Linked DNA regions of Drosophila melanogaster. The protein of the gene in region 3 interacts with the protein of the main gene of each other region in a pairwise test. Each region holds a gene or a part of one and is shown on either strand. Other genes may lie near its edges.

Region 1 (8,569 bases), on a different chromosome or scaffold from region 3:
TTAATTTTCTCACTGATTGCAACAAATGACAGCGCCACAAAAAATTAGTCGGAGAAATAACATTCGAATAAAACGGAAAGCAGAACAATTTTTTAGCTAATTAAAGGTAGGCAAACACAGCTGGCTGACAAGAGAACAAGCCAAATACACTCAATTCCGAAATAAATCCAAATCAAATACGAGGCGCAACTGACTGAAGCGATCTCTCTCCACTACCATTTGCATGTCAAACGAAGTCGCATTTTTTAGCTAGATTGTATCTGCTGCAACTTAGCTCAAATGACACCCATATGGCATTAATAAATTTCTCGTTTTGCATTTATTTCACACAGCGCGTAGAAATATACACACAAATTATGCATGTATCTCGAACATGCCACTCGACAATCTCGAATTTCAACACAAATAAACAGGCCTCAAAATCGAAGATAAGCAGAGGCCCACAGAAAAATCTGTGAATATTATGAAAATTGCGACAAATGCAAATCGAAGCTCGTTTTTTATGCATGCGAACTATTTCGAGCAGAGACAACCAAAAAAAAAATGGGAATTTTTGAAGCCAAAGAAAAGGTTAAACATTTTGAATCAACCGAAGGTATGGGTAAGGGTTAAGCATCCGAAGCGAAAAATAATTTAGATGCGAAATTTTATAATTAAAACTCGTTGCCACTAATTGATTGCAAAGTGGAAATAATAGAAACGAGCAGGGGAATGGTGGTGAAAAATTGAAAATACATTAATTGAAATTCCCGGGCAGCTTTCATTTTAAGCCAAACCATTTACCCGAATTACAATAATCAGCAGCTTTCGAATGACACAAACAAAAAAAAAAAAAAGAGTAGTAAACAGTGTATAATGTTTGCACATAATAAATAAATTGTTTTGCAGCCAATGTGTGTTTGTTTTTGCTCCCAGTCGCTCTGAATTTGCAATTTTCATTAATAATACATATCATAATTTTTTATGAGCTCTTTGAAATGTTGGCACAGAGCGTGGGCCAGATGTGATGGTTTGGCCAGCATAAATTAGCCATATTAAGTGGATATTATCGGGTTTTGTAGGCCCATTCACCGTCGCGACAGCCGAGTGATTGGACAATCTGGGTCTGGTGAGCGGCTCTGAAAATATGGCATATGATATATATCGCATTATCAAAATTCCTAATAATTGTATTTCAACCTTGATGCATGATCGGTGGAATTAGTTTGGACGGTGTTGGCTACAAAGCGTCGCCTTCCGGTCACGAAAATTGCAGTTACTCATTGACAAAATGCACTTAAATAAATATTGAAATGCCAGATTGCAGCATGCGATTCACATGAAGTTCCCAAATAATTGCCATGGCTGGATTTTATAAATGTAGATGGCATACCATTTTTATGGGAATCTCATCTCATGTTTTGTTCTAATTTGTCAGGGTTTGTTTAATGACATTTTTATTTATGTTGACAATGCGTGAATTTCATTTGATTTTTACTACTCTAATCGCTTTTGTCTAAGGAATTACGCATCCCACTTAAAAATGGGGGGAGCTATAAAATCCAAACTGGAATTTAAGCCATCTGACACATTGCTGAACCTGCATATCGATTCGGTATGCAAAATTCACGGATCCTCCCATTTTGCCGACGGCAAATAGTAAAAATGTAGCGAGATGTTTTTGTAAAGATTTTTCTTTTATTTGTTTTTTTTTCGTGGATTTTTTGTGGATTTTGTTTTTATTATTTCCAGGTGCTTGGCAATGTTTTGTTGGATTTGTTTGTTTTCGCTGCCTTGCGCCATGTTTCACAATCACGTTTGCACGCTGCTTCTTGGTTTGTTTTTACTAAATTTGCTTTAGGTTTACTAACATTTTCTCTGGTTGTGTTTGTATTATGCAGTAGATGCTTGCCTTCGATTCGATTTATGTTTTAATAATAATAATAATTTTGTTTTCGCTTTATTACAATTAATTATGGTTGTCTTGTCTGGTATTTGTAAGCATAATTAATAATTAAATTGTTTATATAATAGATAATAATTATAATTACTTAATGCATAAGAGAATTTATAAAATAGAATGTTTTTTGACATTTTTCTTTGCTTTTCTGAAATATTTTCATCGCCTCGCCACAACTGCCTTTACTCCTACTAAACTTGTGCTTGATTCCGCGTCCCGTTGCTCCCTTCAATTGAACGCACATTTAATGTCTGAGAATGTTTTGTACAGCAAAAGGTGAGTGGAAATGAAATGCTAAACCAAACGAATTTGTTGTTGTTGCCGTTGTCCCCGTAATTGGCAACAGTTTATTTGTATCACACAATTGTTTTAGCTATGCAACAAGCGGGAAATCAAGGGAAATCGAAGCAGAACGGTATGGAATGCAAGTGAGTTGTCATCTTACTATTGTGGTACAACAGTGCGTATGCATCATTTAAATGACTAAACATTAATCCTATTCTCATTTATTTATATGCGCATGTGTTACTCTGCCACTTCGAAATTCGAATTAAACCTGCTTAAGAACTAAGGCTAAAATTGTGTCTGTGTGTGTGTGGCTGTGGTTGTGGGCGTGGGTGTGCGTATCCTAGGGCTTTAGTTAATATTTTCAATAATTTACAATGTGGATATATCCAGGAGGCCAGCACTGGCAGCCACCGCTGCCTCGTGGCCAGGATGATAGTGATGGTACAGCTGGTGTTGCTGCTGCTGCGGGAGGTGCTGCAGCTGCTGCTGTTGCTGCTGCTGCTGCTGGTAGTGTTGCTGTTGCTGCTGCTGGTAGTGCAGGTGGTGGTGCTGCTGCTGCTCCTCGAGATGCTGCTGTTGCATGTCCAGCATGCTGGCCGAGGCGGCAAAGGAGCTGCCTGCAGCCGCAGCAGCAGCAACGGCAGCAGCAGTTGCCGCCGCAGCAGCAGCCGAAGTGGCGGAGGAGGTGGCAGCGGAGGGGGTCAGCTGGTAGGCGGCTGCCAAGGCGGGTGAATGCGCGGCGGTATGGCCACTGGAATGCGCCGAGGAGCGGCCGCCCGACGACCCCGATGCCGTCGGACTAGGCCGTCCGTTGAGCAACTGTTGCTGCTGTTGTTGCTGCTGCTGCTGTTGCTGCGGGGCCGTCGGCATGTACGGCGGCAGTGGAGGCGAAACGCTCACACTGGAGCCTGCTGCTCCATAGGCGCTGGCCATTTCTCACATGTGTGCCAGCGGCGCCATCGCCCTCAGCGATTGCTGATGCTGCAGGTGGTGTTGCTGCTGCTGCTGCTGCATGGTATGGTGTTGCTGCGGGATCTGTTGGTGCTGCTGCGAAAGGTGTTGCTGCGGGAGGTGCTGCTGCTGCTGTTGCATCGACTGGTGCTGCTGCTGCAGATCGGGCGAGTCAGTCTGATAGTGCAGCAGGTGGCGCTGCTCATCCGGCAGATGGTACATATTCATCAGGTGATTCAGCTCGCCGCCGCCGGCGGCTGCTGCCGCTGCTGCTGCTGCTGCTGCCGCCGCTGCAGAGCTGTATTCCCGCTTCATGATGTGATTGTTGTTGATGTTGTTGTTGTTGTTGAGCGCTATGGCACTGGGACTGGGCGACACCGGTTCGGACTTGATGCTCGAGTCGCTGGGGCTGTGGCTCTGGCAGGAAACCTGACCGCCACCGCCTCCACCTCCGCCGTACGGAGTCGGACTGCCGGGCTGCTGCTGCAAGCTACTGCCGCCATACGGCGACGGTGATCCGGGCTGCTGGAGACTGCTGCCGTACGGCGATGTCTGTCCGCCGGACACCGTCTGGTACATCGCATACCCGTTGTTGTACATGTGTCCCATGTCGTACCGCTGCGCCGCGTAGTGCTGGCCCATGTAGGAGGTCTGATAGGCTGCCGCTCCGGCCGGATCTGCGTGCATCATGTAGCCATTGGGCATGTATCCATTGGGCGCGTTCATCTGGTACATATCCTGGCGCGCCTGTTGCGCTGCCGCTGCTGCCGCCGCCGCTGCCGCTGCTGCACTGCCTCCACTACCGTTTAGCGACTGGTTCTGGCCAGGCTGACCTTGCACCCGCGTGGGCGTCACCGGCTCACCCGGTGCTCCGCCGCCCACCGTCTGTCCGGGCATCAGGCCGCCCATTGGGTACTTCTCCTTGGTCTTGGTCAGCGTTTTAGTCTTGCGGCGCGGCCGGTACTTGTAGTCCGGATGCTCCTTCATGTGCACCGCCCTCAGGCGCTTGGCCTCGTCGATGAACGGTCGCTTCTCCGATTCCGAGAGGTCCTTCCACTGGGCGCCCAGTCGCTTCGAGATCTCCGAGTTGTGCATCTTGGGGTTGTCCGAGGCCATCTTCCTCCGCTGGCCCCGTGACCAAACCATGAACGCATTCATAGGCCGCTTCACACGATCCGCGTGCTGTTGGTTCTTGTTGGCCGTGGCGCTGTTGTTGTTGTTGTTGCTGGATCCTCCAGTTAGGCTGCTCAATGCAGATCCCGCGCCCAGATGCTGCTGCTGCCCGTGCTGCTGCTGTTGCGTGTGCTGCTGGTGGCTGACCGGCGATGTCATGTGATGGCTTCCGATGCTGCTCTGGGTGGGACTCAATTCGCTGGAGCTGTGCAGCGGGGAGCTCTGCTGCTGCTGCTGTTGCTGCTGCTGCTGCCCCACCTGGCTGCCATTGAGGGTGTTCGCCATCGAGGACTGCAGCGAGCTCAGCGGATTGGGACTCTGGCTGGCCGCGATATGGGCGCTCATGTGGTGATGATGGTGGTTGTGATGGCTCAGCTGCGAGTGGGTCAGGTGCGACTGGCCCAGGTTCATAAGGGGAGCTAGGGCGGAGTACGGCGATGCCGCATGTCCGTGCAACGCGGCACTTGTGTGATGCGGCGGCATGGTGGCATGCAGCAGGCTGCCTTTCATATCCGATTCCATGGTCAGCATCTTGCGGGGATTACTTCCAGTTTTCGGTGCGATAAAGCTGATTTGACTCAAAGTTGGTTCTCCGTGGATACTCGCCTCTAAGATGCAGTTACTCTTTAGCTTTAGTTTACTCTTTGCTTAGTTAGACATTTTGAACATTTTTTGGGAAACCATGTTGCACTTGTGATTTTTGAGATTTTGATTTTCGCTGCAGTTTTTATTTCGTAGTTTTTCGTATCTTTACGCGTATCAAAAATGTGGCGCTCGGCTATCTTTGGATTTGTAGCTAAACAGCTTGAATTGCGTTTTTTCCACAGTCACAAATATCAGATATACATATATGTTGTTTGCTAGCAAACAAACAAGAGGCGGCGTAAAACACTTGAAAATTGTTGCTAAAACCCGACGCGAAATTGCCTCAGAATATTGTTGTTGTTTGTATTAGATTTTGTTGTAAATATATTTGGTTTGGTTTGGTTGTTGTTTTTTTTTTTCGTATGCGAGAAGCGGGAACACCGAAAAAATACCTCCACACTGGGCGGAATTGAGCACCTTTCTGTTTCTCCGGACGACGGCGAAACCTGTTCGAGGTGCGTTCTACGCTGCTTTTTCCCTGGCTGTATGATGACTTTTTTTTCTTTCTTTCGTATCACCGCTTTTTGGCTAGCTGATGACGAGGCACGAACCAGAACCACCGATGCGATGCGATGCGAAACGATACGGATACGATACGACACGAAACCGAATTCGAGACAGCGAACAACCGAGTTGATGTTGCTGCGTGATGTTGCTGCTGATGGCGTGCTGCGACTGCCGTGCGGTACGTTGCGTGCGCGTGTGCTGACGACGGCGAATGCGAGAGTCGAATGAGAGACCGTCTGCCGCTGGCCGCTCGAGGAGGCGGTAAATGCGGTGCGGTCCGCCAGACAGGGTGGCTGGAAAAACTGGTCTTGAGTCGCGAGTAGCTGTGTGTGCGTCGCTGCTGTCCAAGTGTGCGTCGGCATTTCCATTGCCCGTCGCCTGTGCGGGAGCGAGATGAATATACGAGTGGCTGGCCTGCTAATAAATCAAATAAACTCGCTGCTGTGCATGTGTGCATCTGTGTGCGGTGAGCGCTGGCTGGGTTGGATTTTGCGCACACTGCTCCGCCAATCAGAGGACGGTGAGAGCGGTACGAATGTATCTTTATCTCGTTCCGTCACTATATCGATCCGCGTTGCGCTCAACGCTGCCATAAAAATGTCGTCTCTGCGTTTATGGCAAGCGCTGTTGCCGCTTTTCCGCTGCCGAAAGAGACTCTGAAGGAATTTCTCGTATAAATTTCGAGCTTTAAACATGGCCGAAACGCTATGGACGGGGGGAGCTGGAGCGGGCCATGGGTACTCTCAACCCAGTCCAGGGATCCAGGGACCCAGGGGCCTTAGTGTTTGCGGCGTTTTCGCCGTTAGAGCGCGTCTCACGCGCATAGTTTTTCCTGGTTTCCTTTTTTATTTTTTTTTTTGGCCCTGCTATATGTACATACAAAAAGATATATAATATAGATATATATATATATATATGTATGTATAGTCACTCTGCGTCTTACGCTGCGCTTCTTATTAACCTAATGGGTTTGCCAAGGTAGCTCACGAATAATTGTGTAGGCAGGCAGTCGGCAGATGGAAAAATTTATTAAGCAAGTGCAGCTGCAAATGTATCCTGCTCTCGCGGTAGTCGGCAGTTGTATCTCAGAACTTTGATGCGGTTTGGCTTACACGTATCACGTATCCGCCACATGAGCCAGCCCGTCCTACGGCATTGTCTTAGGGCACCATCTGCCCCACCACGACACCCCCCTTTAATTTACCACCCCGCGATGAATGCGTTTTTCCTCAGCTGACTCTGGTATTCCGTTTTTTGGGTTGCCCATGAGTAAATGTTGGGCTCTTTTTTTTTGTGCGACTTTTAGCAGTGCAAAGTGATTGGATTGCAGTTCTCAGCTGGTGAGAACTACTCACCAACTTGCAGTGCAGGTGGAAGTCGATTAATTGAAGATTTTTTGCACACTCGAAGAGCAAAACCAAGATTTATGGGCTTTTCTAAAAGTTATATTAATTATAAATTGTGTGTTAAATAAAAAAAATACCATTGTGGCTAAAATAAAACATACTTTTGCATCCGTAAACTACGAATAATATAGAAGACCATTTTTGTTCTTGAATAAATAAAATACAAATTATATGAAAAACTGCATTTCCTCGATAAATAATATATATACATTTTCTCCCTTTAAAGCACAATCAAAATTTCTTTTGTACAACTCCTTAAGCATCGTCTCCAAATTTCCTGCAAAGTCATCAAACACTTGAATCGAGCTACTAACCCATTAAAAATGTATAATGCAAACAAAGCCGATATGTGGGCTCGTCGGCTTAATGAATTTATGGCCAATTGCTAAACATTTGACAATGGAGCGAAAACACTGGGGCAAGCGGGCACAATAATAAAGGCAAGACCGGCAAACAATGCAAAACCTGCCCCAGTAACTGACCTACAACAACGCAACATCATAACATCAAAAACAACAAGAACGCAAATCTTAACCGCAAAAAGTTGGCCAAAGAAAAGGAATAAGTCAAAGTCGTTGTTGATTCTATGGGGGCTATTGTGTAATTTCAAATACAAAATGCAGAAAAAGAAATACAATTCTGTTCGGTTCATTATCAATGTACTTGGCCTGCCTGTTTGTTTTGTTATTGTATGAGTACGAGTACAAGTACGAGGCATTGATTCTTTTGATGGGAAGACTGTTGCTCCGCAAAAAGTATTTTGCTGAAAATGGGAAAACAAGCCAAAACCCGAAAAACCAAACAGAACCAGACTTATACTCAGACTCATACTCGGATTGCGATTCTGATTCTGACTCCGATTCTGATTCGGATCCAGAATGAGCGACGAGTAGACACTCAGACGGCTTTGTTGCTGCTATTTGTGTTTTGTATTTTGTGTTTTATGTTTTATGTTTGACGATTGAGCGTGCTGGGCGCGTGTGAATGAAAAGGAAGCTCACTCACAAACACTCACAAGCAGGCGGGCCATGGACCATACAAAAAACAAAGTCAAGGTCATTGTAAAGAGTTTTAATTGTTCACACACAAAAAATACAAATGAAAATACGAAATAAAAATACTCTCGCACACACACACACCACTATGCTATGCTACTGGGAAATAAAGCAGAAAAACACAATGGGCGAGAGAGCATTGCACAAACAAACAGGCAAACATTCGTACATAATAAAAGAAATAAAAACGCAACAACAATGGCCAAATGGCAACAGGAGGAGCAACGCCGGCAACAACAAAACACAGAATTGGCAGCAAACAAGTTGAGCAAATCTGAATAAAGCCAAAAGGAATATATGGATATTATCCCGTTCAAGACTTGGCTAAAATCTAAGCAGGCAGCAAATCAATAGATTTAATCGTGGGGGAAAATAGGTAAATATTTCTTGTTAAATTCAAATAATTAAATCCTTTTTGAGGATATCCACTTATTATTATTACTTATACTTATTATTTTTTTCCCTAGATCAAATTTTATTATCGCTCTAAATTTTAATATATAAATTTCCCTTCTATTGACCCAAATCAAAAGTTCTTCGGATGATATTGGCACCCCTCCAGTGATATAAGCCATATTGCATCCGTTTTGTTGGCCAAACTTTGG
Region 2 (8,225 bases), on a different chromosome or scaffold from region 3:
ACGGATTATTGCCAAAAGGTGTGTAAAAACTCGAAAAATTGCTGTTGCTCGGATTGACCGACCCATAGCTGCTGGTGACGGTGACTCTAGCGATGCCATCGCCATTTTGATAGGTTGGGATCATGGCCTGCGAGTAAAACTGTTTTGTGATTTATTAGTTGATTCATTAGGACTAAACCTAAGTTCTAATATATCGAAACATACATTCGGAGATTGATGACTCACATTTGCAAAGTGGCTGGTACTCGCGGATGCCACTGGTGGGTTCAGTCCAAAGGCTCCTCCACCGCCGCCCAGGGAGAAGTTAGTGTAGCTGCTGCCCACCGGATGTTGCATAGTGCTGGTGGCATTCGAGGGCGCTCCTCCACCCAGATTGTGCTGCATAATGAACTGATTGAAGTTCACGTAATTGTTGTTGCTGTGCCTGTTGCAGGAACCACCCACTGCCGCCGATTCGTGACCTCCGTTGCAGTCTGCCATGGCGGATGACTCATTGCCGGGTCCCGCTTCTCCGGCGCCGTTGGTCAACTGCTGCCAGTACTCAGCCATTGAGAGTCCGGTGCTGTCGTTGGTGACCAGCGTCTGTTGCAGTTGCGCCTGCTTCTTTGCCGGAACAATCTCGAACTGCCCGCCGTCCTCTGCTGGGCATTTCCCAGCGCTACCACGGGATCGTCCGCAATCCGAGGAGGAGGTGACCGAACCCAGGAAAAGCTCCAGACACGTGTGCAATGGTGAAATTGAGCCCAATGCAGAAGTTAACCGAATCGAATTCTCAGTTCGATCGAATTTGGTAAAGGCTTTCTACGGCCAACTGGACGCACCGCAGCCTGGGTCCGCAGGCACGTTTTACTGATTTTTTTGCGCTTTTCCTGCGTTTTTTATGCTCGCTTATATTGTAAATTTCTAACAAAATTTCACAACACGGTCATACCAGACGAAACGGTACCACTGACAATTGCCTTGACTTATCGATATATTAACAGACTTTCGATTTTTGAGGGGAAAAGGGCTGCCAACTCGGTTTTAGGACAGCTGTGAATACAATTTAACAGCAAGATTTCGTTTAGTTACTCAACACACCTACAGTGGTAATAAACTATCAGGTGGCGCCATCTGGCTGAGTGAGAGCGCACTTTTAAATATGTTAAATGTACTGCAACGGTTCGTTCATTTGTTTACTAAAAAAACATACATCTTTTAATTTTTGTCACTAGAAGATTTGAATTAAATAAGGCTGCGTTATCTGATTATAAGCGAAATTACCTAGTTGGACTCCCAATCATATCTCCAATCCAAAATATTATTTCTAGAATCCTGGAATCCTTTTGTATTTGATATTATACTTTATTGACTGGCCAATATATATGCCTATTTTAATAATAATTAATGTCTATTCCTAATTTAATTTCTAGCAAAATTATTGCTTGAAAATAAATGTAAATTGAATAACAACAGTGGAAGTACTGCACTTTGTAATTGCCACAAATTTGGTTGAAACTGGCCGGGCACAACGATTCCACCCATTTAGAATGTCCTGAGATTGCTGAGAAGGGTTTGCTGACTCGGCGGTTGGGATGGACCAGATCCAGGTGTTAGAACTCCAGGAGGTGGCGGCATTTGAAATGTTTGAGCCATGGCCATGGCCAAAGTGGGCGGTGGACCTGTTTGTTGTTTTCCCGGTACTGGAAGTGCGGATGATGTGACCGTGAGTCCATCCAACGGACGGTACTGACACTTCTTAGCGTGGGTTCGCATATTGCTCGACTGGGTGAATGCCTGATTGCAGTTGGGATGTGGGCAGACATACGGCTTGCAGCCTGTATGGTAATTCAGATGCGTCTTTAGGTGATGCTTTTTGGTGAAGGCTTTGGGGCACAGGGGGCAGCTGAAGGGCTTGATTCCCGAGTGGAGGCGATGGTGCAGGGTCATGTTGCTGCGATCGGCAAAGGACTTGCCGCACACGGAGCACTGATACGGTTTCTCACCACTGTGCGTCCTCATGTGCTGTTTGAGCAGCATTTTACGCGAAAATCTCTTTCCGCACTCGTTGCATTTGTGGGGTTTCACGCCGGTATGAATCCGGACATGCATATTGAAGGCCACACGCTGATTGAACGATTTGGGACAGTAAGGACACTCGTACTCCTTCCGGTTCCGGTGAATCTTTAGGTGACTGCTCAAATATCCCTTATCGTTGAATGTCTTGCCACATTCGGGACACTCGGCGGCAAACTCCTTGGTTCCTCGGTGAACGGACAGGTGATATTTGTAATTTCGCAGCTGGGAGAAACCCTTTCCACAATCCGCACACTCGTAACGCGGCGATTTGTGCGTCTTTTCATGAGCCTGAAATAAGAACATAATAGACAAATAAGATAAATAAATAAGATACATTAGCTTAGCAATAGTAATATTGTAGCAATAGTAAGAGATTTAAAATTTTAATAAAAAACCTGAGGTAGTGAAAATCTGTTGTGAAATTCATAAAACAGCGATTTTCTACAAACTGTTCGTTAGTTAGTTAGTTTTTGGAAGGGAGGCTTTCAAGATGAGTATGTTTAGCAACATTTTAATTAGGTCCTAATATTAATACCTTATTCTATAAGTTCTAGTGAGGATTGGAAGATTTCGAATATAAAGTTACTGAAAACTGAGCTTTGGACACATTTATACTTATACAAAATAAGCCAGAAATGCAAAAAATACCATGGTTACACATTCGAATGTTCCCCATTGTTTGTAATAATTTTGTTGCAACTTCAAATGTGGCTTGCTTCAGTTAGCTACTGAAATTGGTGTTCTTTCCCAAAGTGGCCATTTTGTGATTACCTCTCGCTCGGCGTCTGGCCCTTTCTAACGTATCTTGTAGCTGCACCCATGCGTAAAACCAGTTCTCTCTTTTTTGCCCGCTTCTGTTTCTGTTTTCGGCCGACTCCATTTTGAACTCGGATTGCTTGCGAGATTTGCATAAGGCACTCAATTCTTCGCTGCCTCTCTCTTCCCCACTCCACTTGAATCTCCACTCTTTTCTTCGGAGCTCCGCCTTCCAATTAGACTACTGTTTCTCTGTTTTTTAGGCCCCGCCCAAATCCATATGGTATCTCTGTTGGTGAAGAAACCCGTTTTGGGAGGATCTCGTGTGGATGTGGACTTTGAGGACCGGCCAAACGATATCTTATGTGATGTATGGCCATGTGAAAGGTTAATGCTGTTCTTGGCTTAGATGTTTTGAAAGGAGTTAAATTCCTAAAGTTATTTAATGGCTTTGCAATAATAATTCTCAATCATTTAGTACTCCGCATAAACACATATTTCTTTGTGATAAATGTATACGTAACCGTTGATGAGATCTAAATCATTAATTTTTTTGTTACTTATAATTAAAAAAAAAAATACGCGTGCATTTGCCAAATGCTTGTGTGTAAGTACAAACTCTTTAAGTGACTTTACGTATAAGTTTGATTGTGCTATTTAATTTATAAGAAAATTTCATACAATCGTTCATTTCGTTTCGCTTTTTTTATAACTAAACAGCAGCAAACTGAAATAAAATATAATCTGGCAAATCTAAATCATTTCATTCTTAAATTCTAATTGGGAATTGCATATATTTTTTGAATATTTGTATTTCATTTTTTAAAAGTTGAAGGTCTAATGAAATAAAAAAAATTAAAATTCTGTCTACACTATAAATATAAAAATTTGTTTCGTGGGTGTTTTGTGTTTACTCGTTTTTGAGGGATTTTAAGAATAAATTGAATCCTTGGGTTAGAGTTTGGAATATATTTAGGATGAATTATCTTTTCTAAAGCTAATAACTGATAACTAAACGCTTTGGTTGTCATAAATGATATATACTTGTAAACAGAACACCATCGTAATAATAATTTAATAACAATAATAAAATCTCACCTGCAGAGTTTCAGAGCATCCGAATACCTTCTCGCAAATCCGGCACTTGTAGCTGATCTCCTCGGCGGATGTGGCATTGTATCCACCGATACCACCGATTGCTCCACTGTTGCTGCCGACGGCTGTGGTGATCAGTCCACCGGTCATCTTGGGCATCATTCCGACGGCCGTTGCCTGGACCGAGTTCAGACTCAGATTGGTCACGGTGGTCAGTGAGATGTTAGTGCTGGCGGCTCCTCCAGTGGCACTCATAATCAGATCCCTCACAGGACGTATTGATCCGGTGGAACTGCTCACCGAGGAGGCGGCGGGTGAGATGAGAGGTGCGGTCTGCTTATAGCCACCAGTCTGCAATCTTTGGTAATAATCCAGGCACTCCGGGCAATCCGGACGAGTGCATGCGGTGCTTTTGGTGCGTATGAGAGGTTGCTGTTGCTGCTGCAGTGGTGGTGGTGGGGGAACCGATCCATTGATCACATAGGGAGCAAAGAAGCGTTTCTGCTGATTTGGCAAATGCTGCTGATGCTGATGTGTTTGATAGGGCGACGTAGGAGGAGTACTCAAGCCGGCAGCCGCTGCAGCAGCCGCATAGGCGGGCAGTAAGTGCGGGAAGAATTGGGCATAGAACTTGGTGGCATTGGCCATGGCCACCAAATCTGGCGGCAACATGGAGTAGGCACCGGAGGCATAAGGAGTTGATGGTATTGCCAGCCCTCCAAGAGCCTGTGGGCTCCTAATACTGTTGCTACTGCTCTTGGATAGATCCAGGATATTCGTGCTCGTATCCTGAGCGGATTTACGCTCCTTGCCCAGAATCTTACTGATGCTAAAGTCAGTGACTTGAGCCGGTGGCAACTGTGCCCCAGCTCCCAAGTTCTGGACTCCATTGGTGGGTGAAGTACGCGCCGGCGAGGGCGAAAGGTCGTAACTGCGCTGCAGCATGGCGTGCTTGAAACCCATTCTTCTCCACACCGAAGAATCACTCATAGACCGCAGGCGTTACCGTTTCGGATGACTATTTTCTGAGGCGTAGGCGCTTTTTAGCCCGGGGAACTGTCGCGTTACGCGTCGAAACACGAAATGTCTTGGCCTCACAGCCCACAGCAGCCGTCATCGTCTTTTGGCCGGGCCTAAAGCCTGGCTTACGCTCCCGCTCTCGAATTTAATTGGTCGAGAAACAGGTTTGACCGTACAGGTCGGTCTCGCTCCGTATCTCTCTCTCTCATAGACCGGGAGTCTCTTCTCCAATTAACCAGGTTTGACTGCTGGAGACAAACTGTCGCGCCTCCAATTACGAGAGGAGCTGCAATCTGCAGACCCAGAACCATTTGCTAGTAGCGTTCTACTAGTCACATCTATCATAAACCTTATCGCTCCTTTCAGATCGCTCTCCGTGCACTACTCTCTTTCATTTTTTTTATCCACTGGACCTCTCTGATAAAGTGACTAAGATTTCGTTTTGGCCGCGTTGTTTTTGTAATTAATTGCGGTAATAAAATGTGCGCATCGTTAAATTTTCAAAATGTATTTCTCTTGTTCCTCATCCACACACACACATTCTCATCCCCGTCCACATTCACATCCTCGCTGATTCCGAATCCGATTCCCAGGCATGTGTGAATCTTACGGTTATGCGCATGCGCAGCGATCATCTCTTGAGGTGACTTGGTTCGTCACGGCTCTGCAGTCTTAGCCATGTGTGAGTGTGGGAAGGAATTGAAGCTAGGGACTAGATGACATAACCGTCAAACGATCGTCAAAATGGTGTATAGGAAATCAGGTATTTTTCTTGCGAATTTAAAAAGGGTTGTTAACGGTTCATGATTGACCACACTGGCCAAAAAACTTAACGTAAGCCCAAAAGGTCTAAATAATCATATATGGATGATTATGACACCCTCTTGAAATATTTTAGTAATTAAGGACGTGCTGTGCCATTAAAGTAAAGTAAAGAATTTTTAAGAAACAACAATTTGAACCCAAATATTTTTCCATAAATTTATTAAAAAATAGCCTATGCCAATTAAGGGTGCCCTACAAATACCTCTTTCTGAAGCATTTAAGCTTGATCCACTACATTTAGTTGCCATCCAAGAGGGACTGTGACCACTTCCTCGACTTGCATAGCATCAGTAGCGGCCATAAAAATGTGCAAAACAAAATGCTCCTCAAGTGATTTGTGATTGGATGAAACGCGCATAAATAACATGGTATCCAGGCCGAGGATTCGGAGGATCCATACACAGGTGAAGTAAAATGGTGACACACCACGCGAATTCAAGGAAGCTGCAGATACAAATGAAGTGGTATACATTTACAGCTACATGGAATGAGATCCGGTGAAATGGAGTTGATATTCTGACTCACAAGGATTGGAGGATTGAAAGTCTCTGTTTTCTAATTGCCAATTGCCGCATAGAGAGACTCTAATGCGCAAGGCACAATCTTGCACACGATTTGTCCACGATCACTTACAAAACGATCTTATCAGGATTACCTGGCGGAGAAGCCCCTTCAAATCCTCCGCGCTAGCCAACTACCGATCCTCTTGCCAGTGATTAATAATGGTTTGACTGTCAACACGCGCTGCTCGCTTTGGTTGACCACGATCTGCATAAATTTTGATTAAACAGGCTATTCATTATAATTATACATATGAGGACCGGGCGAACACCACAAAACTTGTTCAACCTTAGTTGAAAAACTCTTTTTCGTATTTCGTTTTTTTTTTTCAGTTCGGTTGGCATTTCGTGGAATTCCGCCAGATAATTTACATATGCGAAGCGAAGGAAACTTAAGTTTTAATTACACTCACTAAATCATCGGGCCTCTGCAGCAGACTCCAGGAGACTTTGTTTTGTCGCATGACTAATGTTTATTAGCTGCTAATGGTTTGTTTTACAAAAGCTACGTGGCTGCCCCATGCGAAGTCCCTCCATTGCCAGCTCCATCTCCATCCGTAGCATCCCATCGCAACGCATCCAGGTGACTCGCATGAACGCTCCAAAACTGTTTCACCCGTTGACATTTTGACAAATTTCCAACTCCTTACTACCGTCGTCGTTTTGGGGCCGTCTCCAATGTAAGCTGATACCTATCTCAGATGCCCAGATCCCCATCTCCATCTCCATCTCCTCGATCTTCCCCATGGTTCTTCTTCTTTGTTCACACTATTAATTTTCCGCTCGTTATTGTCGGGATTGTGCGTTGTGGTTCAGTCGACTGGTTCCCCCTCATTGGGGTGGTCGGCATTTATCTTATTTTGTGTGCGTTTAAAACTTCTTTGTGAAACTCTTTAATGTCATGTGTTATCGGTTAATGATCAGCCGCGTTGCCAAGTGATTTTCTGTCAGCGGGTGATCAACTTTGCCTGGGATTTCCCCACCGAACTCCGATCTTCACCGCCGGTTCGGGTTTGTCCTCCTTACGGATTCCGTTTAATTTCCTTAGTTGCGTGGACCTTTGGTTTTATTCGCTGATGGGGCTTTGGATCGTTGGATTGTTTGGACCTTCTCGTCTGCGCCTTGTTATGTGTAGCTTGACAAATGTGTTGATTTGCCAAGTTTATTTCCAGCGATGGTGGGTCCAACATTTTGGCAATAAGATTGAACGACCTTTTTGGACTTTCTGATCTTTCAAGGCGAACTAAAAGCAACAAAAATATAAAGTTCTGAATTTCCAGGTAACACGTTTTGGCCATGAAATGTATTTGAGTTAAATTGAATACAGTAATTACAAAAATGATCATTTTAAATTATTTAGAGCTATGTATAACATAAAGAAAAAATGTTTAAAATAATGATGACAAAATAGTTTTATTCGCTTTACTTTCAAAACTAATCGGAAAACTTGAAAGTGCTTAGAAATGGTTCAAAATTTGCATGCAAATTCTACAGAAACGCCCACCTCCCAATTCCCAAACTTATGTATTTGTCAGGCCTTGGCAATAAAACTAAAACAGGGCTCTAACAACAGCATTTAGGAGGTGTTATACTATTGTCTAGCCGCGATATAATTTATATGGATGGAATAAAAGTTCGCTGAAAACGAGACAGAGACAAAGGAGAGTAGAGCGCGAACAAAGCGATATTCGTAAATTATATATGCACGTCCATATATGTATGTACATATGTATATACGGATCCAAAGTGGCTAAACTATATAGGTATGTATGTTTGTGCATATGAATAAACGAGGCGTATGGCTCGGCAATGTTGTAGATCACAATCATTTCAATTAATTCGAATATAAAATACGAAGTGGAGACGGCGGCTTTTGCAAAATGAACAGCGTGCGCTCGTATATATCAAATT
Region 3 (7,054 bases):
AGTTGCCAATTTTCACTGACAGTCAACTGACACAATCTGCGATCGCTTGGCAGAAATCTGCCAGCGGTTTCGCAGCTAATAAAGTTATCAAGGGGCACAAAAAGTGAACAAGGTGCAGCCTCGCCTTCACTTTGGTCCCAAGCAGTTGGCTTTTTGGGATTGGGTATTCGGCATAATCATATTTCTTGGCTGTAGTTTTGGTTTAGTACTTACAATCGCGGCTCATGCCAGCGGAAAGGCATTTCTTGAAGCGGCAGTACTGGCAGCGATTGCGGTTCAGTCTGATGACCAGGCACTTGCCGTCCCGCAAACAGCGATATTCGATTTGCTTCTGGATACTGCGACGAAAGAATCCCTGCCAGGAAAAAACCCATTGAAAATATATATACTGCATGACCTGCACAAACTCACCTTGCAACCCTCGCAGGAGGTTACACCATAGTGGTATCCCGATGCCTTGTCGCCACAGACTTTGCAGGGCACAAATGATTTCGAGGAGACACCGTTGTTGTTGTTGCTGCTGCCGTTGCTGCTGCTGCTGTCTGCTAGGCCAAAAGATTGCTGCTGCTGCGGGTGTTGCAACTGCTGCTGGTGCTGCTGCTGCTGTTGCAGCTGTGTCGTCGGCAGTGGCTGCTGCTGTTGCTCTGCAAGGGAAAATTGCATTGGTTTACACATTTCCTCCGCTGGAAAGTTGTCCAGCTGGTCGCTTATGCAATGGCACATTGCTCATACGCCGCGTGTGCAACATGTCGCAGTGCAATTTGTTAAATGAGTTTGCTGTCACTGCCGCCATGTCACCCACTCGCCATCGTCCAAAATGTCACCTTCTTGCAACACGGGACAGCCACAATCACAATCACGATCACAAGCGCAATCAATCGACAAGTGTCACCAGTAATTGATTTAAGCCACCTAATGGCTAAATTATTTTTTTCCGACAGCTTTAAGGCTCCCATCTTAATCATCCTCCAGTGGGCTGGTGATCAAAGTTAAATCCAATGGCCAAAGAGTGCATTCAACTTCCAGGAGATGTGCGATAAGAAGAAATGCCAAAAAATCACGTATACGCCACCGCCTACAATAAATTGCCTGTAAAAACGGCAGTCACGAGGAAAGCTGCAGCCGCACAATTTTCACAGTGCGAGCGCCGAAAAAAATTTGCATTGCAAATTAGGGAAAAAGAAGAAAAGAAAAACAAGCAAAGAAAAACTGGAGCCAGGCAGCAATGTTTGCTTCTTGGCATTTCATTTCGAATTCAATTTGACTGCATGTCTTGCTGCTATTTTTCGCTTTTCTAATGCAAAAGGAAGAGGCAAATGAACTAAGCGCGGAGTTTGAACAGCCTTCTATTGTTGTTGTCGCGATGTTGTTGGTGTTGGTGTTGCTAGTTGCCGCTGTGCACATTGGCGTTGCCACACCTCAGAAATGCGAAACAAAATGAAATTAATGTGGATACACGCACCGAAAAACTGTCGACAGGAACGGAAATATGGAGACAGAACTTCAATTTATTTCTTGTAATAAAATGTCCTTGTGCTTGGTCCAAGAAACTGTCCTTTACAAATTTTGTAACAAATATTAATCTAATACACATCACTTCCGAAACCGTTTAAATTTGTTAATATTTATTTGGTGATCAACTTTGGTGATGCATGTTTACATCATTTGTTTTTTCTTACAGTGGATGGCGCGTTACGCGCTTGTGCAATTGCAAATTGAATTTTTACAATTGGAGTGCAACAACAATTACAACTACAACAACGGCGTCTGGAAAATGTCGTCGGCCCGGGCAGGAATGAAAAAGAAAAGAAAACGCAAAGGAAACTCAAGTGGCTGCTTTTCATTTTCGCGCCGCGTTCAAATGCAAATCATTTGGTGGCTTTTGCAAGTTGACAATTTGAAACGCCATTGTTTATCCAGCCGAAGAAAAAGGGGTGCGGGTTGTGGGTTGACTGGCTGGCTGGCTGGCTGGCTGACTGGCTGGTGGAAAACTGCTTGGCATTTCCGCGTTGTCAGACAAGTCAGAGGCATGGACGATAGACGACAAAGACTTCATATTTCCTCGACTTTTTCCCATTTCCATTTTCATTTCATGCATTTATCTGGTTGAAGACAACTAATTGAGTGGAGTGGACAACGAGCGATTGCAGTCAATTTTTGCCCCGGCAGAGGAATATCAATTTGAATGCCGTGGAAAAAGCAGTCGAGATTTTGACTTTTCCTCTAATTCCCAGCTTGATTTCAAGGCCTTTCCTAACAGATTTAATTTTCATTCGCACTAATTGACGCAATTAAATGTTGCCATTCCAGGACTCGAAATGAAATCTTCGCCAAAAAATCCAGGCAATTTGCAAGTTCAGCCAAGCCGAATAGTATTTATAATGTCGAATTGTAGTTCAAAATATTATAAAATTTATTGAAAATAAACAAATTTATATTTAAAGTTAAATAATCATTTTCTTGGCTATTAGTGGCGGTAAATCATTCAGCAATAAAAATGTATTGGATTTAGATATTTATAAAAAAAATTGTTTAAAATATATATGTTGGTTTCTTTTTTTGAAAGTCTCTGTGTAAGCAGCAGCTGACCGTAGTAGTTATTAAGCCTATGTTTTGTTGCATTTCCGGTTCCAACTACCCATTCGTTCGAGCCACCAACTACTCCCGGAGGAGTAGAATGGGCTTAGCCCCTTCAAATACCATCATCCAAGGCAAAAGAGAGCCGAGACCAATTCAAGGCGATTTATGAAAATTAAAACATCTTTTCCATGGCTTTCAATTGCACTGCACCCAAAAGGAAAAGCAAATGCAGCGGCAAATGCAAGCACATTGACAGACGTGCAACATGAAAAGCAATTTCCTCGCACTAAAGAGAAAACTGAAACAGCAACAGCCATTGGCCAATAACAGCGAATTATATTCATTTTCACATTTTCCATGCTGCGCTTTAATAGTTTCCTCAAAAGGAGAAGAAACCGAAGACCCAACGACTTTCAATTGCTGTTGCAGCTATTATGCAATGAATGCAAATTTATTGAACACAATTTCAAAGACCGACAACAATGGTCCGCAGCAGAGGAGAGGAGACGACAACGCGGAAGAGTCGCAGTGTCAGTTGCAAATTGCACGTACCTTTGTTCAGATGCGCAACAGATGAAGATGTTGCTGCGGGGTTGACGACGCTGTTGTTGCTGCTGCGGCCGCTGCTGATGGTGCTGCTGACCGCTGACGAGGAGGAGGATGCAGAGGAGGATCCGCAGGATCGCGAAGATCCGGAGGAGGAGGCCGACGAGCAGCCGCTGTCCGGCGAAGAGTGGGCGGCGCTGGAGGAGGGGGAGCTGCTGCTGGTGTTGTGGTTGCTGGCCGGACCGAACTGATGCACACTGCTGATGGTGTACAAAGCACCTCCACCATTGCTCAGCGTGCAGTTGAGCTGATGTTGCTGCTGTCCAGGGTGTTGCTGCTGCTGCTGCTGTTGCTGTTGTTGCTGGTGGGTGTGCTGCCGTTGCTGCTGCTGCTGTGGGCTTAGACTGGCTGCAACACTCTCTGCTAGGGCTGATGTTCTATAGAAGTCGTCGCAATGCAACAACTGCAATGGATCAGCTTCAATGGCACTTAGGCAATCCTCCAAATCCCGGTGATGCTGCTTCTGCTGCTGATGCTGCTGTGTTTGCTTCTCCTCTTCCTGCTCGGATTCCAAGCTATTGGCCTCACTGTAGGCCCCTTGGGTGGACGAGTCCTCCGGTGTGTCAAAGAAATGCAAATTAAAGTCTGAATTTGCATTAAAATTGACTACCGGCAGCAGGGCTTCCTCGTCCTCGTCCTCCTCTTCTTCTTCGCCTTCTTCTTCCTCGTCCTCTTCGTTGTCCTCTTCCTCCGCCTCCTCTTCGCTTGGCTGTTCCTCCTCGTCCCGAGTGAAATCCTTGATGAGGTCCTCCTGCTTAACTTGGAGCTGCTGCTGCTCCGAAGACGAGTGCTTCACACAGGTTTCGACCAGCAGTTTGGAGCGGATTTGTGCCTGTTCCTCCAGCTCTATTTGGTATACATCCATGTTGCTCGGATCGAATCGGTGAGATGGGCATCCATCATCTTCATCATCGTCCTGCTGGCGGAAATCGACGTTGGCAACCTGCGAGGGCGCCTGATCAGCATTTTTATGGGAAATCTCTGCGATGTTATATCTTTTGCACTTAATGAGGAATCCGGAGAGGGCGTTTCAAAAGGATTCACGGTCTTTCAAATTTTCTTCGCTTTTGTCAGCTGTGGCTGAATTGAAAAAAGAAGTTAGGCTTTAGCATATGGCAAAGTCCTTTAAAGAAAATGCTATCCGATTTCAAAAGCTAGACCAATCTATCAAGTTCTGGTAATCTTGAAAAACCAATCATAATAAGTACGATAAGTTAACATTAAGTCTAAGAATAAGTGTATAAAATAGACATTAATTTTTGATATCAAGTAACCTAATATTCCCAATACTATAATATTTGGCCAATATTTCCTTTTTTCTATTTATTAGTTTGCTAAGTTTAGTTAAGGCCTTTCCCAGCCATGTACATATGTAATTATTGCCTCCCTACTTTGTGCGCAGTTCTTTCGTTAATGCTTGAATTCAATTATCACGATCATTTCGCATTTCTCATTACTAATCCCCTCGCTTAAGTTTGTCACTTGCACTTAGCCTTCGTAATAGCTTGTATTGCATAATTTTTCAATTCACTTCCGTGTTGTTTTCGAAGTCCTTCGTTTCCAAGTTCAGGCTAGTTCCAAAATCGGGCGCTCGTTTCGATATAGGTTCGTTTTGTGGCGGCACACTCGCGCGTCGATTTTATTATTTTTTGGGAGAAATGGTGATCGCGCGTACAAAACTCTCGCTTCGTCGAGATCCAAGCGCCAACTTCGCAGCGCTCCAAATGCGCCAGGGAAAATCCAAGCTAAACTGTAGAACCTACGACAACACACAAAAGTCCAAGACGACGACGGAGCAGCGGCGCAGAAGAACAAGAACGTGTCCCTCTGCGCCAGTGTGAGTAACTGTGCGCTGGTCTGTGTGTGGAAAGAGCAGGAAAATAGAATGCATTGCGTCTGTGTGGCCCAATGGAGTGGGAAAACTGCGAAGCGCCGCCGCCGCCGGAGCATGAGGTGGAGCCGCTGGAGGAGATGAAGGGAGCAGATCGGTTGGAGAGAGTCAATGTGATGCGAGTACTGGAGGCTCTATCTTTCTAATCTCCACCAGCGCCAGCGACAGCAAGAGCAGCAGCAATAACAGCAGCCACACAAGCTGCAACAGCAACAACTTGGAAAGCTGCAGCCACATTAGAAACTGCTGCAGCAATAGAATCGGCAACAGCAGCAGCAACTGTTGCAACAGCAACAGCACAACAGAAACATGCATTGCCACTCTCGCTGTTGCAGCTGTATTTTGTTGCTGCACTTTTTCATTTGCAAACTCTTTTCCTGGTTGCTATTTTCAATTTCTATTGCCGCTGCCGGCGTTGCTGCCAACGTCGGCATCGACTTCCAACATTTCCAAGTGCAACCACACATCCACTCAAGATCAATTTCACACACACCAATGCAGCGAGCGAGAGCAATAGAGAGAGACTCGGACCGTTACTTAGTTTGCACTATCCTCGAGGGAGAGGGCAATGGGCATGTGTGTGTGCGCGAGAAAGAGAGAGGGCAGAAGTGTGGGCGCCTTCAAGGGGGGTCAAGTCAAAGAACCTTCAGCTGAGCAGGCAGGAAAGAGAAAGGCCGAACGGCAGAGTGGGAGAGCAAATTCTGCAATGCGGAAGTTTAAATGTTGCATGTTGCTTTTGCGTTTGTGGGCTGTTTTTCACCGAGAAGAAAGTGGAAAACTGCAGTTTTTGGCATGAAAATACTTTCCTGAAAATTATTTTTGAAGATCAAATGAAGTATTTAGGAATTTGCTTCTGAGTCAAAAAGGTTTAATGTTTTGACTTGAAAATAAAAAGCAAACAATGCCAAATTTTCCCGAAAAATGAATTTACATTCAAGGACAATGATAAAAAATAATATGATTGTGCAAATTGCAAGGGTACAAGGAATTAATTAACTAGGTACAGAAATCTCTTTTTCGAATAGTATTTTTTCCTTTTTCCCTAACGTTTTCCGCAATTTTCGTGACGAACGCCTGGCGCAAAAGGGAACGAACGAAAGTCAATGATCAGCGGCGGCGGCGACGTCAACTGCATGCTAGCTTGCCATTTTTCCAACGGGCAGCAGCGAAAGCAACCAGAAACTGTAAATAACAGGAAAACGGCAACTGGGCGATCGGTGGAGCCACATATCCACGATCCTCCGCGAAAGCGAAAAGCCAGCGAGCAGCCGAGGTACGACGACCAATCGAAGCGATAACTCCGCCGCCCCCACCGATCCGACGATCCACCCAGGCTGTGGCATGCTATAGCACACTATATGTCCGATTGCGTCGGGCGATAAAACCTGATCTCCGCAGACACACCGATATGCCACGCACACTCCTCCAAAGACGCTCACCCATACAGACAGACGTGCGATGACGACGAACCAGGAAGAGAAAAATGAAAATGCCGCTCGCGAAGATTGTGTAATCGAATCGAGTGAGTGTGTGCGTGTGTGTGTGTGCGAGTGAGAGTTGTTTAAAGATGGGCGGGTGGAAAAGGGGAGCACTATTCTTATTATTACTGCATTTCACTTATCATCTCACGAGGGTGAAGGGGGGAGGTGGGGACAGTTGCCTTGGCTTCTTCGCGTTTTTCGCGTTTATTTATTTTGCTATTGTTGGCTCTACGTTCGCCGCGTTAAGTTCAATGACTTGTGGGCAACGTCATGGGCAACATTTGAGACAACAGCAACAACAGCGAGAACAGCAGCAGCAACAAAGTGGCGCAAAATGCGTTTGGTTTAAATTATTTGCTTATTATTATGCCACTGCCGACAGCCTTTAGATTCTACACCGAAGAAAAGTGATCAAAATAATAATTAGCAGCTGCATCAATTGCATTATCAACAACAAAACTAGCTACTTATTTGATCTGATATTATTAATGAATTT
Region 4 (8,032 bases), on a different chromosome or scaffold from region 3:
CACCACCAATCTCGCAGCAGCTCCTTTACCATCGCCACCAACTGTCCAACAGCTGCCGCTGTCGGTAATCAAGAGTCAACCCAGCGAGGCCATGAACCTCACCATAACCAAGACACCGCCATCCGGTAGTCGGGGCTCACGCAATCGATCCAGTCGCCGAAAGACGCACTCGCCCAAAAAGGTCCAGCACACGGAGGGCAGCGATGTTAGCGACGAGGATTCGCCGCAGAAAAGGCTCAAGGAGAACGAGCTCATACTGGCCAATTATAATGCGGTAGCCGCTGCTGTCGTGGCAGCCGCTTCGCTAACGGGCAATCCGCCAGGACAACCGGATAGCCTGCAGCAGCGTCTGTGTGCGAGCCTTTTGCAACAGCAACATCAGGAACAACTCTTTGCTGTCATGTCGGCAACGGCGGCTGCAGCGGCGGCCGTAGGAACGAGCAGTGCCACAACAACGACGACAACGACAACTGGGACAATGATGGCGCATCCCTATGGGTAAGTCGATTGGATACTCCAGCAGCAAGCAGCAAGCAGCAAGCTTACTAACGAATCTCTTACAGCAACCACCCGCCTTCAGAGACGGATAAACGACCGGCGGCTCCGCTGCAGGCTGTCATCCATGCGGCACCCGTTTCGATCATTTGTCCCAATTGCGGTGAGCTTCCTGGCCAGAATCATCGCTGCCTGAGCAAGCCCAAGTACGCATGCGATGTGTGCGGCAAAAGCTTCAAGATGAAGCGATATTTGGAGGTGAGTACTGCACTGCCTTGCATTGTTTCAGTTATCCGCAGCTGCATGGATACCACTAATGATAATGAATTCTTCTGCGGCAGGAGCACTTTGCCACGCACACGGGCGTCAAGCTGCACACCTGCGCCTTCTGTCCCACGGAATTCCGCTCCAAGTCGAATATGTACCATCACACTAAGCGCAAGCACAAAGCGGAATGGGAGAGATCGCGAGCCACGCGCTCGGCGGCCAAGGCTGGCGTCCAGGAGCAGATGCAGCACACCAACCCGTCACAGGCACAGGCTCAGCCGGGTCCTGCGGCCGCACTCTAGGATGGCAGCCGGCACCTGGACGCGGTGCATGCGTAGTCTTAGATCTTTACAATTACAAATATATACATATATATTTTTTGCATATTAGCCATACCGAATGTACTTATCCGACGTTTCGTGTACTCCACAAAGTCAAGGCGTCCCGCCGCCTGGCACCTATTGTGTATACTCTTCTCGTTCTCTATAATGCCTTAACCAGTTGGATTTGATCTGGTTATAAAGTAAACACATTCATTTCAAAAGAAACTAAAAGTCATGTGCACTTATTGGGCGGGGCTTACTGCTAATTGGTGGCTCCATCGATCCATTTGCATGTGAAAAAATCTCTGATCTTACAAGTTTATTTCGTTTTAGCAATTTATACATCTGTTTTTACAATAAAAGTAAAGTATGCGATGCGGGTTTATGCGATTTATGAACGTAATGGTTAATTCAATAAATACGGCGTTTGATACCAGAGATCCACTGCCCACTGGCATGGATCAGCCTGCAGCCGTGCACATCCGTGGTTTGTACTCCGTATTTATTGCACTGGTCATAAGGCAAATATATACCCTTAATGCTGGATGGGATTGGAGGATTGTGTGATTTAAAAGTACTGCCGAGGCTTTGCATTGCGATGATTGATGCGATGAAGTTGAACTGGTATCTGCTAACCCTAACCCTATGCCTGGCTGCTAGCTGCCCCACTGAGATTGGTGCTGCTCCACTGGAGTTGGCTGCGGTTGAGCGCGTATATGTTTCTGTGTCTTAATGCTTAAACTAAAGGCTGCTGCTTCTGCTGATGGAGTCTGGGTACTGGTTCTACGAACGCTTGCTGCGCGCCTGCGCCTGCAGCAGATCCACCGACGGCACGACAAACACAAACGACAGGCAACCGAATCGCAGCAGGCTGCCGTGAGCCAGCACCGCCGATCCCTCCCAGGCGCCATCCACCATGGGCACTGGTCCGGCGTTCATGCAGCGGCAGGCGGGCTTAACAATGGGCGCCAATCTGCGGGGAGATTAAATCAACAAGTGGTTATCATCATCATTGGGTAAGTTGGGCAAATAAACTATAGCTACCGTTCTTTGTCGATTTTCTTCGTCTCGAACTGGCGATTAATGTTCCGACGCTTGTCCAGCATCTCATCGACGCGCTTCTTCAGCTCCGCATCGTCAGGTCGCATCGGCTTGCCGGCGTGCGTTGTCATCCTTTCGGTCACGTCGCAGGCATACAGCTGTCCATTCACCTCGGTGCCAAACTCTGAGTAATTGATCAGCTCGTACGACTTGGAGAATTCGTCGTAGAAGATGATGGCGTGCTGCGGTGAAATGCGACAACAGTAACCAATGGCCGACAGGTCCACGGTCTCCGTTTGCGCCAGCGTCGTCGATGGCGAATAGTGTCCACCGTAGCCAATGTACAGCGTGCGGTAGCGCATGAAAATCGAATGGTCCAGCCCCAGCGAACTGAACCAGCGGCTATCCTCGAGCATGTCGCCCAGTGGCGTTATCACCGCACGCGCCTGCACTTTGCACTGCAGCAGCTTGAGCTCCAGGCGCGATGCCAGCTCGTATGCCTTCTCCGTGTCGCTACGGGCACGCGGCGCATAGCTTTCGGCAGCGGCATCTGCTGCTGCAATGGCCGCCGCTGTGGCCAGTGCCGGATGCAGGGCCGTTGCGGGATCTTCGTCGGCGGCATTGCCATTCTTTTGCGCCAGAATTGAGGACGTTTCGCTGGTGAAGAGCAGCGAGAAACGGTTCATATCCTCCGGCGCCAGTTGGCCTTGCAGGGCAGCAGTTTCGCCAGCCACATGTGTGCCATCGACTGACGCCAGTTGACGCAGGCGACGAGCGGCCGTGCGATTCTTGTACTGTGTCACAATCTCCGGATGCTCTTCGACCAGCTGCTGCAGACGCTGGTGCGCCAGCTTCTTGATTATATCGACGTCCAGGTGTAAGAGGTCTGCATCGATAATACCCGTTGATTTCTTGCTGTCCTCCTCGTCCTCCTCGAAGCTAGCCTCCACCTCTAGGCTGGTCTTGGACTCCACCTTGACAACCGACGGCTGTTCGCTGGCCTGCGCATTCGATTCTGTATTGGGATTCTCCGTATCCACTTCGCCATTCACTTTATCGGCGGGAGTGTTCGTCTCGGTCCTTTTCTCTTCAGGACTGGGATCGCTGTCGCTATCGCCATCTATGGCCGTCTCCAAGGTTCCGAATTCCCTCTGAATCTCACGGAATTTGGCGTGAGCCGTGCGCAAGGCCTCCAGATCCTTGAGCAGCGATTCGGTGACCGACTCACGGGATATCTCCTCGACTTCGGTGGGCAGGTTATTGCGCCGCTTTACCCGATCGTAGCGCAACGTTTGGCGCATGGAGGGCAACAGCGGCGGCGGATGATCGTAGTGGTAGCGCACAATGGCTGGCACCTCGATGTGGGCGCGAGCACGCAGATTTCTCTTGGTGCGAAAGGGCGGATTGCGCGTGTTGACACGCCGGAAGAACTCAAGCTTGACATTTTCATGGTCAAGTGGCTGGTGGAAGCGATTCCAGAGACGCACCCGCTCCGTGGCCGAAATGCTATTGGTCATATTGGCATCCTGTGAACAGACATCCTCATTAGAACCCAAGCAGACCTCCATGTGCGTTGGCTGACTTACGATAAAATTCTCGGCATGATTGGGGCACATCCACAATCCAGCTGGCAGTGCCGTCAGTGGCGGATCCAGGCAATCCTGGTGAAAGTAGAGCGGACAGTAGTCGCAGGAGATGAGCGGCGCCCGTTTGCAGGAGCGCGTGCAGTAGAAACAGGTTTTGGCGGGCAGCGGCACCAGTCCCTGGGCATCCAGCTCAAACGGCTTGGAGTTGCGTCGCTGATTGCCGGCGCATCTGCGATTACCGCCATTTCCGCTCGGCGGATGCGTCTGCTGTACGGGTTGCACCTTGCCATTGCCCGGGAACTGGGTGTGCAGCTCGAGCTCCGGCGGCAGCGAGAATTGCTGCGGATTCATCATGGTGGCCGCCCTGATGACATCGTCCAGCGGCGTTGGCTTCTTGTTCGGATCGAGGGCGCGCTGTATGGACATCGGCATTTTGGCCAGCAGCTTCTCGGTGCTATTGCGTTCGCTGTTGCTGCGTTTGCGCAGGTTGCGGATCTTCAGCGGTATGGACTCCAGATCGCCAGACGATGGAGTATTCGCCCGTGAGCCACTGCCCGCCGAAGGCACACGCTCCACGGAACTGGCCTTGGATGAGGAGGCCGGCGGCTGGGAGAGCTTGCTCATGCGACAGCTGTGGCACAGCCACTGGCCACTGGGTATGTCCTCCTCGCTCAACGGTGGATCACTGTGGCGAAAGCACGAAATCAGCACTCAAAATGAGCAGCTATATGCGCGTGTATATACTCACTGGCATTGCAGGTGGAAGCTGGAGGGGCATCGATCGCAGCACAGCAGATTGCCGCCCTCCTCGCAGGCGTCACAATAGTCGTGGTTGTGGCCCCTGCCCGGGCGCCTGTAGTACGGATGCTTCGTGTTGGTGGACCGCTGCATCATCTTCTCGTCCTCGTTGGGCGGCGGGCGGATGAGCTGCTTGATTTGCTGCGCGAAGTAGTAAAGTTATGTTAAATGTGGGAAATGGAGACAGTTGTGAATGCGTTAATGTGGCAGCTCTAGAGTAGCCACCGCCGATTGGAATTGGAGCTCCGGGCAGTGGACACACTGAAGCTCTGAATGGCGTCCCGGCGGCACACTCACCTCCATGATGCTCAGTGAGGCGTTCGGGTCCTGGTCCAATTTTGACATCTTTTTCGCTCGCTCCTCTTATCCGGTGTACACAATCAATCTCGGAGCGACTTCACTTGGCGACGGAGGCGGGCGCAGTGTCGGTTGTCCAGCCCTGCGCATCCGACGAGCGAATGGCCACACTGCGCGCCCACCGATAGGCGATTAACGGAAATTCAGTGCAGACTGCATTTCACTCCAAATCTAACTACTTGCAATTAATAAAGTTTATATTGGGTATACACATTCGTAACCGAAAAATACCCAAGCAAACAAATAGTTAAAAATTAAATACCCAAAATTCTCATATTTCGCTCAGACCTCACTATAGACACCTATATGTTTACATCTTTTGGGCACACCACTAGCTAGCACTCGCTGTTTTGGACCAACGCCCGCTAAAAGAGCATCACAGCTGGCGGACGACGCAATTTGCCAGTTGATTTTACCAAACAATAGAACAAAATAGTGCAATGTTTTCGATATTTGGCAAACGCAAGCCCGCGGAAACGCCCACGGATGACCAGCCCATCCAGGGACCGGCGGAGGCAACCCGTCCAGGCACCAGTGTCGATGATTTCGTGTTCATAGAGCGCAAACCAGTACCGGATGCTCCTCATCCGGGTGTTCCAGCCGGCTCCATGTATCCACCTATGCCGCCAGCGGGCTATCTGCCCTATCCGCCGATGCCAGGACCGCGCAGCGATCAAGTGAAGCAGCCCGGAGCCCAAGGACCCGTCAATTACTTGCAGGACATTCCATTCGAGCTGGCACCCGGATTGGCCAACAAGGATCGCTACACCAGCACCCAAATGCAGGTGGACAGCATATTGGCGCTACTAACGCGCCAATTGTCCGTGGACGAGCTGGCCGAGGAGTACACCTTCGCCCTGGAGCGATCCGTGCAGAACGAGTGTTACTAGCTTTAGATCCATAGATCCACTGGTTAATATTCATACATTACATTACATTACATATAATAAAACGTTGCTTATTTAATTGTAAACCACATATGCAGTGCTCTTTTGCTTGTTAGTGGTGTGAGTCATTGGAATTCCTTAATCTTGTTGCCATACAATTAATGTTCCATTTCTTTGAAAACATGTAGAACTTTTCTGACTATCAAGTAGTCCTTTGGTTTTACCTCGCTCACATTTCAACTGGGACTGCTCATAAGGTGATCCACTATCGCAGCGTGAATACATAAAATTGTTAGTGCTCCCGTTTACCCAAATTTTTCGTACACAAAAAAGATTTCGAAACATTATTTTGTGTTTATAAGTAACCAAGTTCAAAGCTAAATTTCCAATACGTACAAATTTACCAAGCCGAGACGAGCCGTTCCGTTTCGTTTCGTTTAGTTCAGTTCCGTGTAGTACTCTTCAGCCATGGCCAGCTCCAATGTCTCGGATTGGGATGAGCCGATGCCCACGTCGACGGAGTCGCTGCCCGAGGAGGAGGATCCGGATGTGTGCGCAGAGGAGAACGTAAAGAAGCGGCGGGAGGAGGAACTGGACAAGCTGGAGTTGTATGTGCGGCGCATGGCCTACCAGCCGACACTGCCGCCCAAGGTAAAGCCCTACGACGTGGCCCTGTCCAAGCCCAAGTTGCACACGCTCATCGACAACTACGAGCAGTTCAAGGATGTATACGATCCGAAGCTGCGGGCCAAGCGGATCAAGCGCATGCTGGGCAAATACAAAGCCATTACCACGGAGTAAGTGCAGCGCTTGCATCAGTTGCTAACGCGATCTAATCATCTCATCTCATTCCCAAAAACAGACAGCTGGAGCAGATCCTTAAGAGCAACAAGACCAAGGAGCGAAAGAAGGAGGATTTCCTGAAGCGCAAGCAGGAACTGTACTACAACATGCTGACCAAGCTGGAGCGCCAGTGCCGCACCCAGTACCTGAACGTGCTCATCAAGAAGTTCGCCAAATTCATTTCCCATCTGGCCACAACGATGCGCATTCCGCCGCAGCTGGTGGATCCGTATGCGCGCATGCAGCGCGGCATCTTCTGCAACATCCTGTTGGCCATTGGTGTGCAGCCCACCTCACAGTCGGCCATCTACTACACCAGCCAGGATGCCATCGAGTACGATGTGTGCCATCGCCTCGCGCACGCGCTGCTCAGTTTGATCATTAAGGCGCTGGACTCGGCAGCCACAAGGGATCCCAACGAGCTGGCCAAGCCGGCCGACTTGGACTTCGAGATGGACAATCACATCAAGCGTCGGCTCATGTGCGCCGCCGAGAAGAAGCTGCTGTACGAGCGCCGTCGCAAGAAGCCCCAGCCGCAGGGTCTTGGAGCCTTTGAGAAGTGCACCCGCTATGACTGCGACTAGGACGGCTCCTTCAGTGTATTCGTGTTAACATTTGGCTACTATTTATTCGCATAAGAAGTCTTGCTCACATGGTCACCTCGTTGTTTTGGTCTTGGTTTTGGTGGCGGGTATCGTCTGCTCCTTCATCTGGATGCACAGCCAGTTGGCGGGCACCTCGAAGCTGTCTGTGGGATGCGGCGTGTACTGCGCGCAGTAGGGCACATGCCAGGTGTCCGCCACTTGGTGGGCACACAGCCGATGACGAACGGGCTCCTTGACTATAATCTGACCCGTTTGCGTTTGGGTGACCAGGGAGAACTGGTGCTCCTGCTGCCAGCGACGAAAGATGGGCTTCAGCTCGGTGCCCAGATGAAAGGCGTGACTGCGCATCAGGTCGCGGGAGAAGAAGTCTGTCTCCTGGCCGCTGCGCAGCGTGGCATACAGCAGGAAGGGATCATCGTGCGACCTATAAGCAAACGAACGAACGAATTAGTCTACCTATCCCTTTCCAATTCGAGATGAATTCCCTTACAGATTGCTGGTCAAGAAGAGGCTGGCATTGCAGTGCACATAGTGCATGGCCTGCTTGGACCAGTTGCGCATGTGCTCGCGTCCCAGGACGAGGACACGCTTGTCCTGTTCCCGGAAATGACGCACCACCGTAGCCACTAGCTTGGCCAGCTGCTGCGGCGTCTTTTTGGTGCCCGTAGAGTAGGCCACATTGAGGCCATCGATCACACAGTCGTATGGCGCCGTCTTTTCGACAAACTTCTTGAACCTGGCCACCTCCTCGGGCGTGGAGCGCTGGAAGACGTCTCGTCGTATGAGCACGCGCTCCAGAAAACATTCGCTTAGCTGCCGGAACTCCTCAT

The links.
Region 1: the proteins of Eip78C (region 3) and SoxN interact in a two-hybrid assay, tested with the Drosophila melanogaster proteins (one large-scale study listed by BioGRID).
Region 2: the proteins of Eip78C (region 3) and CG15269 interact in a two-hybrid assay, tested with the Drosophila melanogaster proteins (one large-scale study listed by BioGRID).
Region 4: the proteins of Eip78C (region 3) and CG3815 interact in a two-hybrid assay, tested with the Drosophila melanogaster proteins (one large-scale study listed by BioGRID).

The regions. Positions count from the first base shown.
Region 1 is NT_033779.5:8,822,807-8,831,375, reverse strand, and holds SoxN (SoxNeuro), read right to left. Parts: upstream 5,732-8,569; 5' UTR 4,883-5,731; coding exon 3,164-4,882; coding exon of another isoform or gene 2,597-3,163; 3' UTR 1,706-2,596; downstream 1-1,705.
Region 2 is NT_033779.5:15,106,214-15,114,438, reverse strand, and holds CG15269 (uncharacterized protein), read right to left. Parts: upstream 5,035-8,225; 5' UTR 4,855-5,034; coding exon 3,913-4,854; intron 2,347-3,912; coding exon 1,525-2,346; 3' UTR 1,347-1,524; downstream 1-1,346. Other genes in the region: stc (shuttle craft), read right to left, coding at 1-139, 205-549.
Region 3 is NT_037436.4:21,224,470-21,231,523, reverse strand, and holds the start of Eip78C (Ecdysone-induced protein 78C), read right to left. Parts: upstream 4,606-7,054; 5' UTR 4,052-4,605; coding exon 3,133-4,051; intron 645-3,132; coding exon 412-644; intron 356-411; coding exon 214-355; intron 1-213. UniProt on the Drosophila melanogaster protein: Induces the early late puff 78C which triggers puparium formation and development.
Region 4 is NC_004354.4:6,292,329-6,300,360, reverse strand, and holds CG3815 (uncharacterized protein), read right to left. Parts: upstream 4,973-8,032; 5' UTR 4,856-4,972; coding exon 4,808-4,855; intron 4,652-4,807; coding exon 4,461-4,651; intron 4,398-4,460; coding exon 3,713-4,397; intron 3,653-3,712; coding exon 2,130-3,652; intron 2,059-2,129; coding exon 1,869-2,058; 3' UTR 1,391-1,868; downstream 1-1,390. Other genes in the region: CG12219 (uncharacterized protein), read left to right, coding at 1-498, 564-753, 837-1,064; CG15891 (uncharacterized protein), read left to right, coding at 5,308-5,757; CG15892 (uncharacterized protein), read left to right, coding at 6,223-6,551, 6,617-7,181; mldr (mulder), read right to left, coding at 7,254-7,626, 7,693-8,032.